Oryctolagus cuniculus: one gene and its partners. The protein of the gene in region 2 purifies or fractionates together with the protein of the main gene of each other region. This does not show direct contact. Links are inferred from orthologs where the notes say so. Each region holds a gene or a part of one and is shown on either strand. Other genes may lie near its edges. The genes, in order: RAD23B, 26S proteasome complex subunit SEM1 and UBE3C.

What was found.
Region 1: the proteins of 26S proteasome complex subunit SEM1 (region 2) and RAD23B purify together in Homo sapiens (co-immunoprecipitation; 3 studies listed by BioGRID and IntAct, with this or other methods). This does not show direct contact. The link is inferred for Oryctolagus cuniculus from reciprocal best matches to the Homo sapiens genes SEM1 and RAD23B.
Region 3: the proteins of 26S proteasome complex subunit SEM1 (region 2) and UBE3C purify together in Homo sapiens (affinity purification with western blotting; 3 studies listed by BioGRID and IntAct, with this or other methods). This does not show direct contact. The link is inferred for Oryctolagus cuniculus from reciprocal best matches to the Homo sapiens genes SEM1 and UBE3C.

The regions. Positions count from the first base shown.
Region 1 is NC_091432.1:211,046,979-211,050,634, reverse strand, and holds part of RAD23B (UV excision repair protein RAD23 homolog B), read right to left. Parts: intron 2,065-3,656; coding exon 1,799-2,064; intron 1-1,798. UniProt on the Homo sapiens protein: Multiubiquitin chain receptor involved in modulation of proteasomal degradation. Binds to polyubiquitin chains.
Region 2 is NC_091443.1:63,706,336-63,708,803, forward strand, and holds 26S proteasome complex subunit SEM1, read left to right. Parts: upstream 1-1,526; 5' UTR 1,527-1,584; coding exon 1,585-1,797; 3' UTR 1,798-1,958; downstream 1,959-2,468. UniProt on the Homo sapiens protein: Component of the 26S proteasome, a multiprotein complex involved in the ATP-dependent degradation of ubiquitinated proteins.
Region 3 is NC_091438.1:11,203,965-11,207,620, reverse strand, and holds part of UBE3C (ubiquitin-protein ligase E3C), read left to right. Parts: intron 1-449; coding exon 450-554; intron 555-1,521; coding exon 1,522-1,609; intron 1,610-3,656. UniProt on the Homo sapiens protein: E3 ubiquitin-protein ligase that specifically catalyzes 'Lys-29'- and 'Lys-48'-linked polyubiquitin chains.

The DNA of each region.
Region 1 (3,656 bases), on a different chromosome or scaffold from region 2:
GAGTGAGATCCCAGTGGAAAGAACAGGTCTTCAAAGAAGGAGGTACCTTTCTCTGAAGGGAGGAGAGAACCTCCACTTTGACTATGACCTTGTCTAAACAAGATAAGAATCGGAGAACTCAGAGGGCTTCCATAGCCTTGGAAACTCATGACTGGAGCATAGGGAGACTACTGATGCCATAGACAGGAGTGTCAATTGGTAAAGTCAACAACAGGAGTCACTGTGCACTTACTCCTCATGTAGGATCTCTGTCCTTAATGTGCTGTGTATTGAGATTTAATGCTATAACGAGTACTCAAACAATATATTTCACTTTGTGTTTTTATGGGGGTGCAACTGTTGAAATCTTTACTTAATGTATACTAAACTGATCCTCTGTAAAAAAAAAAAAAAAAAAAAAAAAAAAAAAAAAAAGAAATTATCAACTCCCAACTTGACTCTCACTGGGATTAAACATGACAATAGGTCTGATCTGATTTCATCATCATTTAAAAAAAATCATCTATTATTTTTCACTTTATGTTTCTGTGTGAGAGCAAACTGTTGAAATCCTTACTTAATGTATACTAAGCTGATCTTCTGTATATTAAGATAATCGAAAATGAATCTTGATGTGAATGGAAGGGGAGAGGGAGTGGGAAAGGGGAGGGTTGTGGGTGGGAGGGACGGTATGTGGGGGAAGCCATTGTAATCCATAAATCGTACTTTGGAAATTTATATTCATTAAATAAAAGTTAAAAAAAAAAGAAAAAAAAAAGCTCTTAATCAGCATTTACTGTATACCATGTGCAATTTCATCTTTGACATCTATTATTTCAATCAAACCTTACAATAATTTTATGAAATAGATCTTGTTGTCATTCATACTATATAGATGGGGAAAAATGCAAAGATGTTAATAACTTTTCCAAGATTATCAGAGCTAATATCAGAGCCAAACAGAATACTATCCAACTAGAAATAATTGATGTGGAAAGATGCTTATAATATATATGACAAATATATAAAAAAAAATCAACCAAATATACATGGGTACTCCAAAAAATTAATGGAAAGTGAACATAAATAAGTTTGGCCACTGCAGTGGGTTAGGTCTTTGCCTGTAGCGCTGGCATCCCATATGGGCACCGGTTTGAGTCCCATCTGCTCCACTTCCAATCCAGCTCCCTGCTAATGGCCAGGGAAAGCAAAGGAAGATGACCCAAGTGCCTGAGCCCCTGCATCCATGTGGGAGACCAGAGAGAAACTCCTGGCTTTGGGCCATCCCAGCTTCGGCCAATGTGGCTATTTGGGGAGGGAACCAGTGAACGGAAGATCTTTCTCTGTCTGTAACTGTGCCTCTCAAATAAATAAATAAATAAAATCTCTAAAAAAATTTGGAAAAAACCTTTATTTTATACAAAAAATATGTACCAAAAATAGGTGAAATCTATGCATACTCAAAACAAGTAATGACTGGGATGGCAATGTCATGTTAATTAATAATTCTTGGGTTTTTTTTTTTTTTTTCATTTGTATTTTCTAACATTTTTACTCAAAATGAATAATGATTTTGACCCTCTCCCCTAAGGGGTGGGAAATCAACTTAACGAGTATAGAGATCTGGATCACCCAAATTTTTACCTATATTCTTCTTCGTAAACTACCCAAACAGACCTCTAGTATCTTTCAGGCAGGGTTCAAAGTTTAGAAAAAGCTTAACAGAATAGTCAGTTTGACTGAAATAATCATCAAAATAAATACATGTGTGAGATTGTTACACATTTTGAGATACAATTTCCTAGAACTCAGTGTTTACCTGTCAGTTGATGTTGGACTAGTAGCCACTGGTGTCTCTACCGGCTTTTCTGCAGGTTTCTCTTGCTTAGTTGCACTAGCAGGTGCAGGTTCAGAAGATGTCGTTGATGCTGGAGCAATGGACGCAGGTGTGGAAGTGGGAGCCAAAGCAGGGGCAGGTGTTGAGGCCTGAGTTACAGCTGTTGCTGTGGAGGAACTAACTGCAGTAGTGGTGGCAGAATTTGATTGCTGAGTTGTAGCTGGTGCTGGTGTTGTCACTGCTTTGGGCTAAGCATATTAAAAAGCAAAGTGATTATGATAAAATACTGTATTACTACCTGGTCTTTATTTGATTGTACAGAATGCAAGAAATCCAACACTAGTAAATCTTGTACCTCAAAAAAAATGAGATTAGTATTAGCAATCTGACTCACTTTGTTACTCTTTGAAAACCTGCGACTGTACACATAACTATGAATCTCAATTAGCTTTAGTCAACAATTTTAGACTATCAAGTTGATATGAAAAAGAATCAAAAGTAAATATTAAATATACACAACATGTATCCAAAAAAGTAACCAAATAATTACCCCCAAAAACTTTACGTATCTTAACTTTTAATTTTAGTAGAATTATCAAAAGTAATTTCTTGAAATAGAAATAATTACTAAAGAACATGTAAAATATTTTGCTATATTTTAGAAGAGAGAGGAAAAAATCCCAATAGACAACACGTACAAGAGATAAGCAACATTTTGAGATGTGTATGTAACTGAAGAGAAAAATAAAGTTGTGATCACATGCTGAGCACTTTCTAGAAACAGTCATAAAGCTTCCCACAGAGCAAAAAACAACTAGGTATAAAATCATACTAAATGAGTTTTATTCTTCTACATGTTTTTCTCCAATGTTCACTACCCAATCAGTTCATAACTTTCCTAAGAACAAAAGGTAACTGTTTAAATGGAATTAAAATTGAATAAAATTTGTCACAAGCACAAATCAACAAACTGAAAAACAAGAAGCTACTGGTATCTTGTTCAATCTCAGCTAGTAAAGAGGGCACTGGAAAAAAAGTGGTTAGTTCAAGTTATAGGGGGAGAGGCTTCAAAAATGCCCTTAGCATTTACTCCTTTTCCTATTCTAATAGCCTTACATTTAACTCTGTCTCTTTCTTTTCTGTCAATACAACACTGTGGAAATTATTAATGTTCTAAAAATTCAAAAATCCAATGAGCTGAAATCCTCAGGTAAAGTTATTCTGGATAAACCAAAGCATTACAAAGGTGATGGTGTGGATTTTTTTTTTAAGATCTATTTATTTGAAAGTCAGATTTACACACAGGAGAGGCAGAGAGAGAAAGAGAGAGAGAGAGAGAGAGAAAGTCTTCCATCCAATGGTGCTTCTTCCCGGTCTCCTAAGCAGGTGCAGGGGCCCAAGGACTTGGGCCATCTTCTACTGCTTTTCAGGCCATAGCAGAGAGCTGGATCGGAAGTAGAGCAGCCGGGACTAGAACCCACACCCGTATGGGATGCCGGTGCTTCAGGCCAGGGCGTTAACCTGCTATACCACAGTGCCGGCCCCGGTGTGGATTTTTTTCAAAGAAAGATTTAATGATTTATTTGAAAAGCAAGGGTTACGGGGAGGGGAAGGGGAAGAACTTCATCCACTGGTTCACTCCCCAAACGGCCGTAACTGCCAGGGTTGGACCAGTCCTCCACCAGGAGCCAGCAGCTTCTTCCAGTTCTCTTATGTGGGTACAGGGGCCCAAGCACTTGGGCCATCCTCCATTGCTTTTCCAGGACATTAGCAGGGAGCTGGATTGCAAGTGGAGCAGTTGGGACACAAAGCATCCATACAGAATGCTGGTATTGCAGGC
Region 2 (2,468 bases):
GAGCCTTGAAGTTACAAGAGGAACTTTCCAGAAAAGATGTTTCAGGGAAAGGGAACAGTGAACAAAGCCAAAAGCGTGGAAGAGTGGGTGGCCTGTTGCAGCCCAGTGAGCAGCCAGGAGATGGAGGGGAGCTGGCCCAGAGCACGTGTGCAGAGAGGCAGCCGTCGAGTCATGGGCCTGGCAGGAGCACTGCAAGGTGACTCAGATTTCCTGCTCACCCCTCTCGGACGCCGGACACTGGGGCGATGCTTCTGGACTTCGGCAGAACCCCTGGGGAGCTGTCCCAGCTCGAGGTGCTGAGCTAGAGGGAAGGGTGACAGAGATAGGCAGGGCTGCAGGGAGGGGCTTAGGCCGAACAAAAACGAAGGGAATCAGCCCTGGGCCCCAGCGCACTCCTGAGTCCCACCAGGGAGCCGCCTGCAACCAGCAGACACAAATGGTGCAGACTGAGCATCCCGAGGCCCGGGATGGAAGCCGGGACTCGTGCACAAGGCCGCAGAGCTCTGAGAACACCCACCCTCTGCCCACTGCCCAGGCACCTGCAGGTCTCTGGAAGCAGGCAAGAGGCAGCGGTGTCTGGTGATGGTTCTATAGTGGCAGGACTGGGGAGTGACAACGACCAACTCTCAGAGACCCTCCGCTCTCCACCTGTGAGTCACAGAGAGGAAGGTTAGTGTCTCAAAAACGCTGCCTCTTGAGTGACACTCAAATAGATCTCATCAGCGCTCATTCAGATAGCCTCATGACCACGGGGTCTGCTGTCCCCTCTCCTGCCACTATCTCCTTTCCCTATCTGGGGGTGGGGGTGCGGGCATGAAGACAGTTTGCTGAGGGGATTTTGGTTTCCTTATAAAAGAAACCCTGGAGCCAGCGCTGTGGCCTAGTGGGTAAATCTGCTGCCTGCAGTGCCGGCATCCCATGTGGGTGCTGGTTTGTGTCCTGGCTGCTCCTCTTCCGATCCAGCTCTTTGCTATAGCCTGGGAAAGCAGTAGAAGATGGAACAAGTGTTTGGGCCTCTGCACCCACCTGGGAGACCCAGAGGAAGCTCCTGGCTCTGGCTTTGGATCGGCATAGCTCCAGCTGTTGTGGCCATTTGGGGAGTGAACCAGTAAAGGGAAGATCTCGATCTCCTTCCTCCCTCCCTCCCTCCCTCCCTCCCTCCCTCCCTCCCTCCCTCCCTCCTTCTCTCTCTGCCTTTCTAATGAATAAATAAATCTTAACAGAAAAAAAAAAAGCCTACATGGGTGGGCATTTGGCACAGTGGTTAAGATTTGCTTGGGATGCCTGCGTCCCAAATCAAAGTACCTGGGTTCAAGTCCTGGCTCTGCTTCCAATACAGCTTCTTGCTATTGTGCACAATGGGAGGCATCAGGTGATGACTTAAGTAGTTGGCTCCCTGCCACCCACGTGGGAGACCCAGACTGAGTTCGGGGCTTCTGCCTTCTGTCCAGCTCTGCTGTGGGCATTTGGGGACTGAACCAGTAGATGGAAGTGCTCTCTCTCTCTCCCTTTCAAATAAATGAGAGGGAGTGAGGCCTCCATGTTCCGTACTCACCTGCGAGATGTCCTGCGTGGACGGGAGCGATGTCCGAGAAAAAGCAGCCGGTAGACTTGGGTCTCCTCGAGGAGGATGACGAGTTCGAGGAGTTCCCTGCCGAAGACTGGGCTGGTTTAGATGAAGGTGAAGATGCACCTGTCTGGGAGGATAATTGGGATGATGACAATGTCGAGGATGACTTCTCCAATCAGTTGCGAGCTGAACTGGAGAAACATGGTTACAAGATGGAGACTTCATAACTTTCAGAAGAAATTTTGAAGTAACCTAAACTTGAACTGTTGACTAAATTCTAGCATGGAGAACCCAGGATCTGCTTGGATTTATTTTTGTTTTTGTAGCACAAGAAAAATAAATGTTTTGCTCTAAAAAAAAAATAAATAAATAAATAAATAAGGAAAAACTAGTTTTTTTTTTCCTTAAATAAAGAGCCAGAAGAACGCCTGTGATGCCAGTGTGTCAAGTCTCCCGCCTCTTGGCTAGTGAGTCCCTCCCTTCCTGTCTTTCCTGAATGTAGACTTGCAGGAGACAGCACGACCTCCCCTTCCATCCTGAGGCTGTGGGCTTGTTTCCTGCAGCAGTGTGTCCCAGGAAGTGTGAGCTCTTTCATGGCACAGCTTGAAAGTCTGGAAACGAGACCACAGGTAAGCTGGGTTCTCCGCGGAGCTAACGCGAGACTGCCGAGCCCCAAGCCCCTCCGTCAGGGGGTCCCAGGGCACCTGTAGGCACCTCTTCCTGGCACCAGTATGTCTCCTAACAGAGGAAGGAGTGGAGAGAAGTGAGTCTCCTCTGGTGTATAGGGGCTGGGCTGCGAGTCCAAGCCCCCTTCACACTCAGGCAGTGGCCAGTCTGGTTTCCCTCGTGGGCCCTCACCAGAGGAATGGCCCCTGGGACCAGGGCCTGATTCCCTGTG
Region 3 (3,656 bases), on a different chromosome or scaffold from region 2:
AGTGGCAGGGACAGAACTACTTGAGCCATCACCTGCTGCCTCTTAGGATCTGCACTGACAAGAAGGTTTAACTGGGAGTTGGAACTAATAATGAAATCCAGGCTCTGCATCCCAACCAGCACCTTAACCGCCGCCCCCCCTTGTAATTGAAGAATCATCACGTGCACATATTTGCATTGGTTTTTCTCTGTTTGCTGATGGATAACTGCTTTGTACTTCCAGCACTTTCTTGTGATGGCAGAAGGAAACACTTTTCTGTGAAGTATTTGGTGGTCTAAGGCCAGGTCTCACTTCCTGAGTCCTGTTTTCTTTGAAACATTTAGATAACAGGAGCATCCCCTGTCCCACCGGCATGTGCTCCTCTAACATCTGGTCAGCGGTGGTGCTTGCTTTGTGCCCTTGTAGCATCTGAACTCCTTTGTATGACACAGACTTGTTCATTTCTTCAGGTGATCACCAATCTAGTGAAAATGTTGAAGTCCAGAGACACAAGAAGAAATTTCTGTCCTCCGAACCACTGGCTGTCAGAGCAAGAAGATATTAAAGCAGATAAGGTATTACTGAAATAATCACTTTAATGTTTTTCATTAAAAATTATTTTTCATCTTTTAACTTTCTAGGGGGGGTTCTCATGAGGTAGTTCATCCTTGAATTAAACTGTAGCTTCTGGTCCTGCCCACTGACGAGGTCTTGAAACAGTGATAGGTCCTGTGCGTGAACAGCTCCAATACTCAGAAAAGAAACAGTTCTGGCCCAGTGCTTGGTGCCGAGTCTGGGAAAGACCTTACAAGTTGGGTCTGAAGCCCTGTTGTCACACTGGAGAGTGAGGCCATAGCAGGACGCTGGCCGTTGTGAAGGGCTCACGGGCATTTGACTGGCTTCTGCTGCTCCCAGGTAGAAGATCTGAACTTCAGCAAAGATAGATTTCAGTGAACTCAAGCTTCAGGTACATTTACTCAGTGAGTTCATAATGATACCAAGAAGAACAAGAACTGTGTCTGCTGTTTTTGTAGCAAGCAAAGGAACCAGCACATTATTTGGGTAACTGTGGTGCGTGGAAGAGTGAGATTCAGACTGCCTTTGCTTTGTGAACGGGACCTCATGTTAGCCGGGCAGTTTGCAAGTGGGAGAAGAGTCCTGGCAGGACTACATACAGAGGCGTTTGTGAACTAGGATGCCTGATCACATTGTGCAGGTGCTAAAGGATTATCTGGTCTCAGTGGTACTGCTCCAGATACTGTCCTGGCACTGGGCCTTGGGTTTTTAAAGTGTGATAATGTTTCACTTCACAAAGGAATTATAGTATTATGATTTACTATGTCAATTGCGATGGGGTATCTTAGGAAAAGTAATTAAGCTATAAAAGTATGAAAGGGCAGCTAGTGTAAGAGAGAAGTCCTGGAAAGCGCGTGCCGAGATGACCTGTTTGTCATTCGTAAATATCAGACACTGGCTCTAGGGAAAAACTGTTTGTGCTGGCAAAAAAAAGAAAGCAATGAACGTTGGTTGCTCTCCCCGCAGGTCACCCAGCTCTATGTGCCAGCATCCAGGCACGTGTGGAGGTTCCGGCGAATGGGGAGGATTGGCCCGCTGCAGTCCACCCTAGAGGGTGAGTCCTCGACAGCTGGCACTGCTTTTTCAAAACAGGTTGCTATTTGGTTATTGGTTTTTAACACATTTACTTACTTATTTGAAAGAGTTACAGAGAGGGAGAGCCACAGAGAAGAGAGAGATCTTCCTTCTGCTGGTTCACTCTCCGGATGGCTGTAACAGCCAGGGCTGTGTCAGGCCAACGACAGGAGCCAGGAGCCTCATCTGGGTCTCCCACATGGGTGGCAGGAGCCCAAACACTCGTCAACTCTGCTACTCATCCCAGCCCATTAGCAAGGAGTCGGATCAAAAGTGCAGCAGTTGGGACTTGAACAGCACCCATATGAGATGCCAGTGTCGTGAGCAGCAGCTCTACCCACCACACCACAATATGAGCCCAGTACGGGTTTATTGAAGTATATGTGTATATTGGTTGCACACTGTAAAATTCACTCCTTTTAGTGTATGGTTCTGTGATGTTTGATAAACGTGATTATGTGACCACCACCAGAATCAATCATACAAACTAGTTTTATCACTGCACAAGATTACATTATGTTCCTTGATGGCCAGCTCCTTCCCCCAGCCCTAGCTCCTGATTTATCTTTTGTCCCTATCATTTTGTCTTTTCCCAGGTGTTTCTAAATGGAATCATAAGGTATAACATTCCTTTAAAAAAAAAAAAAAGATTTATTTATTTGTTTAAATAAACTTTATTTACTGTCCCATGATTATATAATTCAAAAAGTAGAAAACTTGTAGAATGATATGTTTTAGACAAACATTCTGTGCCCCAAAATCTACTTTTGAATGTCCGAAATCTTTTGTCTTTCTTTTTATAGGTTTTTCTTCTTGACCAGAGTTTGTCCTTTGAATTCTTTCTGTAATACTACTTTGTTGTTGTTGTTGTTGTTTTTAGATTTATTTATTTGAAAGACAAGAGTGAAAAAGGTAGAGACAGAGAGAAAGAGCATGGTCTTCTATCCGTGTTTCGCTCCCCGAATGCTGCAACAACAGGAACTCAGGCCAAACCCGGGAGCCAGGAGATTGTTCTGGGTCTCCCACATGGGTGCAGGGGCCCAAGCATTTGGACCCTCCTCTGCTGCTTTTCCAGGTGCCTTAACAGGGAGCTGGATCAGAAGTGGAGCAGCCAGGACTTGACTCTGCAGGCCAGGGCTTTAACCTGCTGCACAATAGCACCGATCCCATAACTACTTTGTTTTTACAAATATCATCAACATGTTCATGTGAAAACCACAGTAGACAGTGTGTGATTTGCTTAATTTGCCCAGTATAAGATTAATTACTGGGCTGTTGTCACACTAAGTACAGGCAGGTGAATTTAGTTGTACTTTTTTTTTCCAAGGAGGAGAACCTGAATTTTTGAGTACCTGGGGATTAATGGTTATTTCATATTCCTTTTAAAGACCCTTGTTGTGGAATTCATTTAAAAGGTGTTGGACCAAATTAAATGTACTTGGCATAATCTTATTTTTAATAATGTATAATTAAAGATTTTAGGTATCCAAGATGTTAAAATTGTTCCATTTTAAGACTTGGATTACGGGACTGGTGCTGTAGCATAATGGATAAAGCCACTACCTGCCATGTCAGCATCCCATATGGCTACCAGTTTGAGTCCCAGCTGCTCCACTTCCAATCCAGCTCTCTGCTATGGCCTGGGAAAGCAGTGGAGGATGGCCCAAGTCCTTGGGCCCCTACGCCCACATGGGAGACCCGGAAGAAGCTCCTGGCTCCTGGCTTCGGATTGGTGCAGCTCGGGCTGTTGTGGCCAATTGGAGAGTGAACTAGTGGATGGAAAACCTCTCTCAAGCCGGCGCCGTGGCTCAGTAGGCTAATCCTCCCCCTTGCGGCGCCGGCGCACCGGGTTCTAGTCCCGGTTGGGGCGCCAGATTCTGTCCCACTTGCCCCTCTTCCAGGCCAGCTCTCTGCTATGGCCCGGGAGTGCAGTGGAGGATGGCCCAAGTGCTTGGGCCCTGCACCCTATGGGAGACCAGGAGGGGCCCCTGGCTCCTGCCTTCGGATCAGTGCAGCGCAGCGGCTAT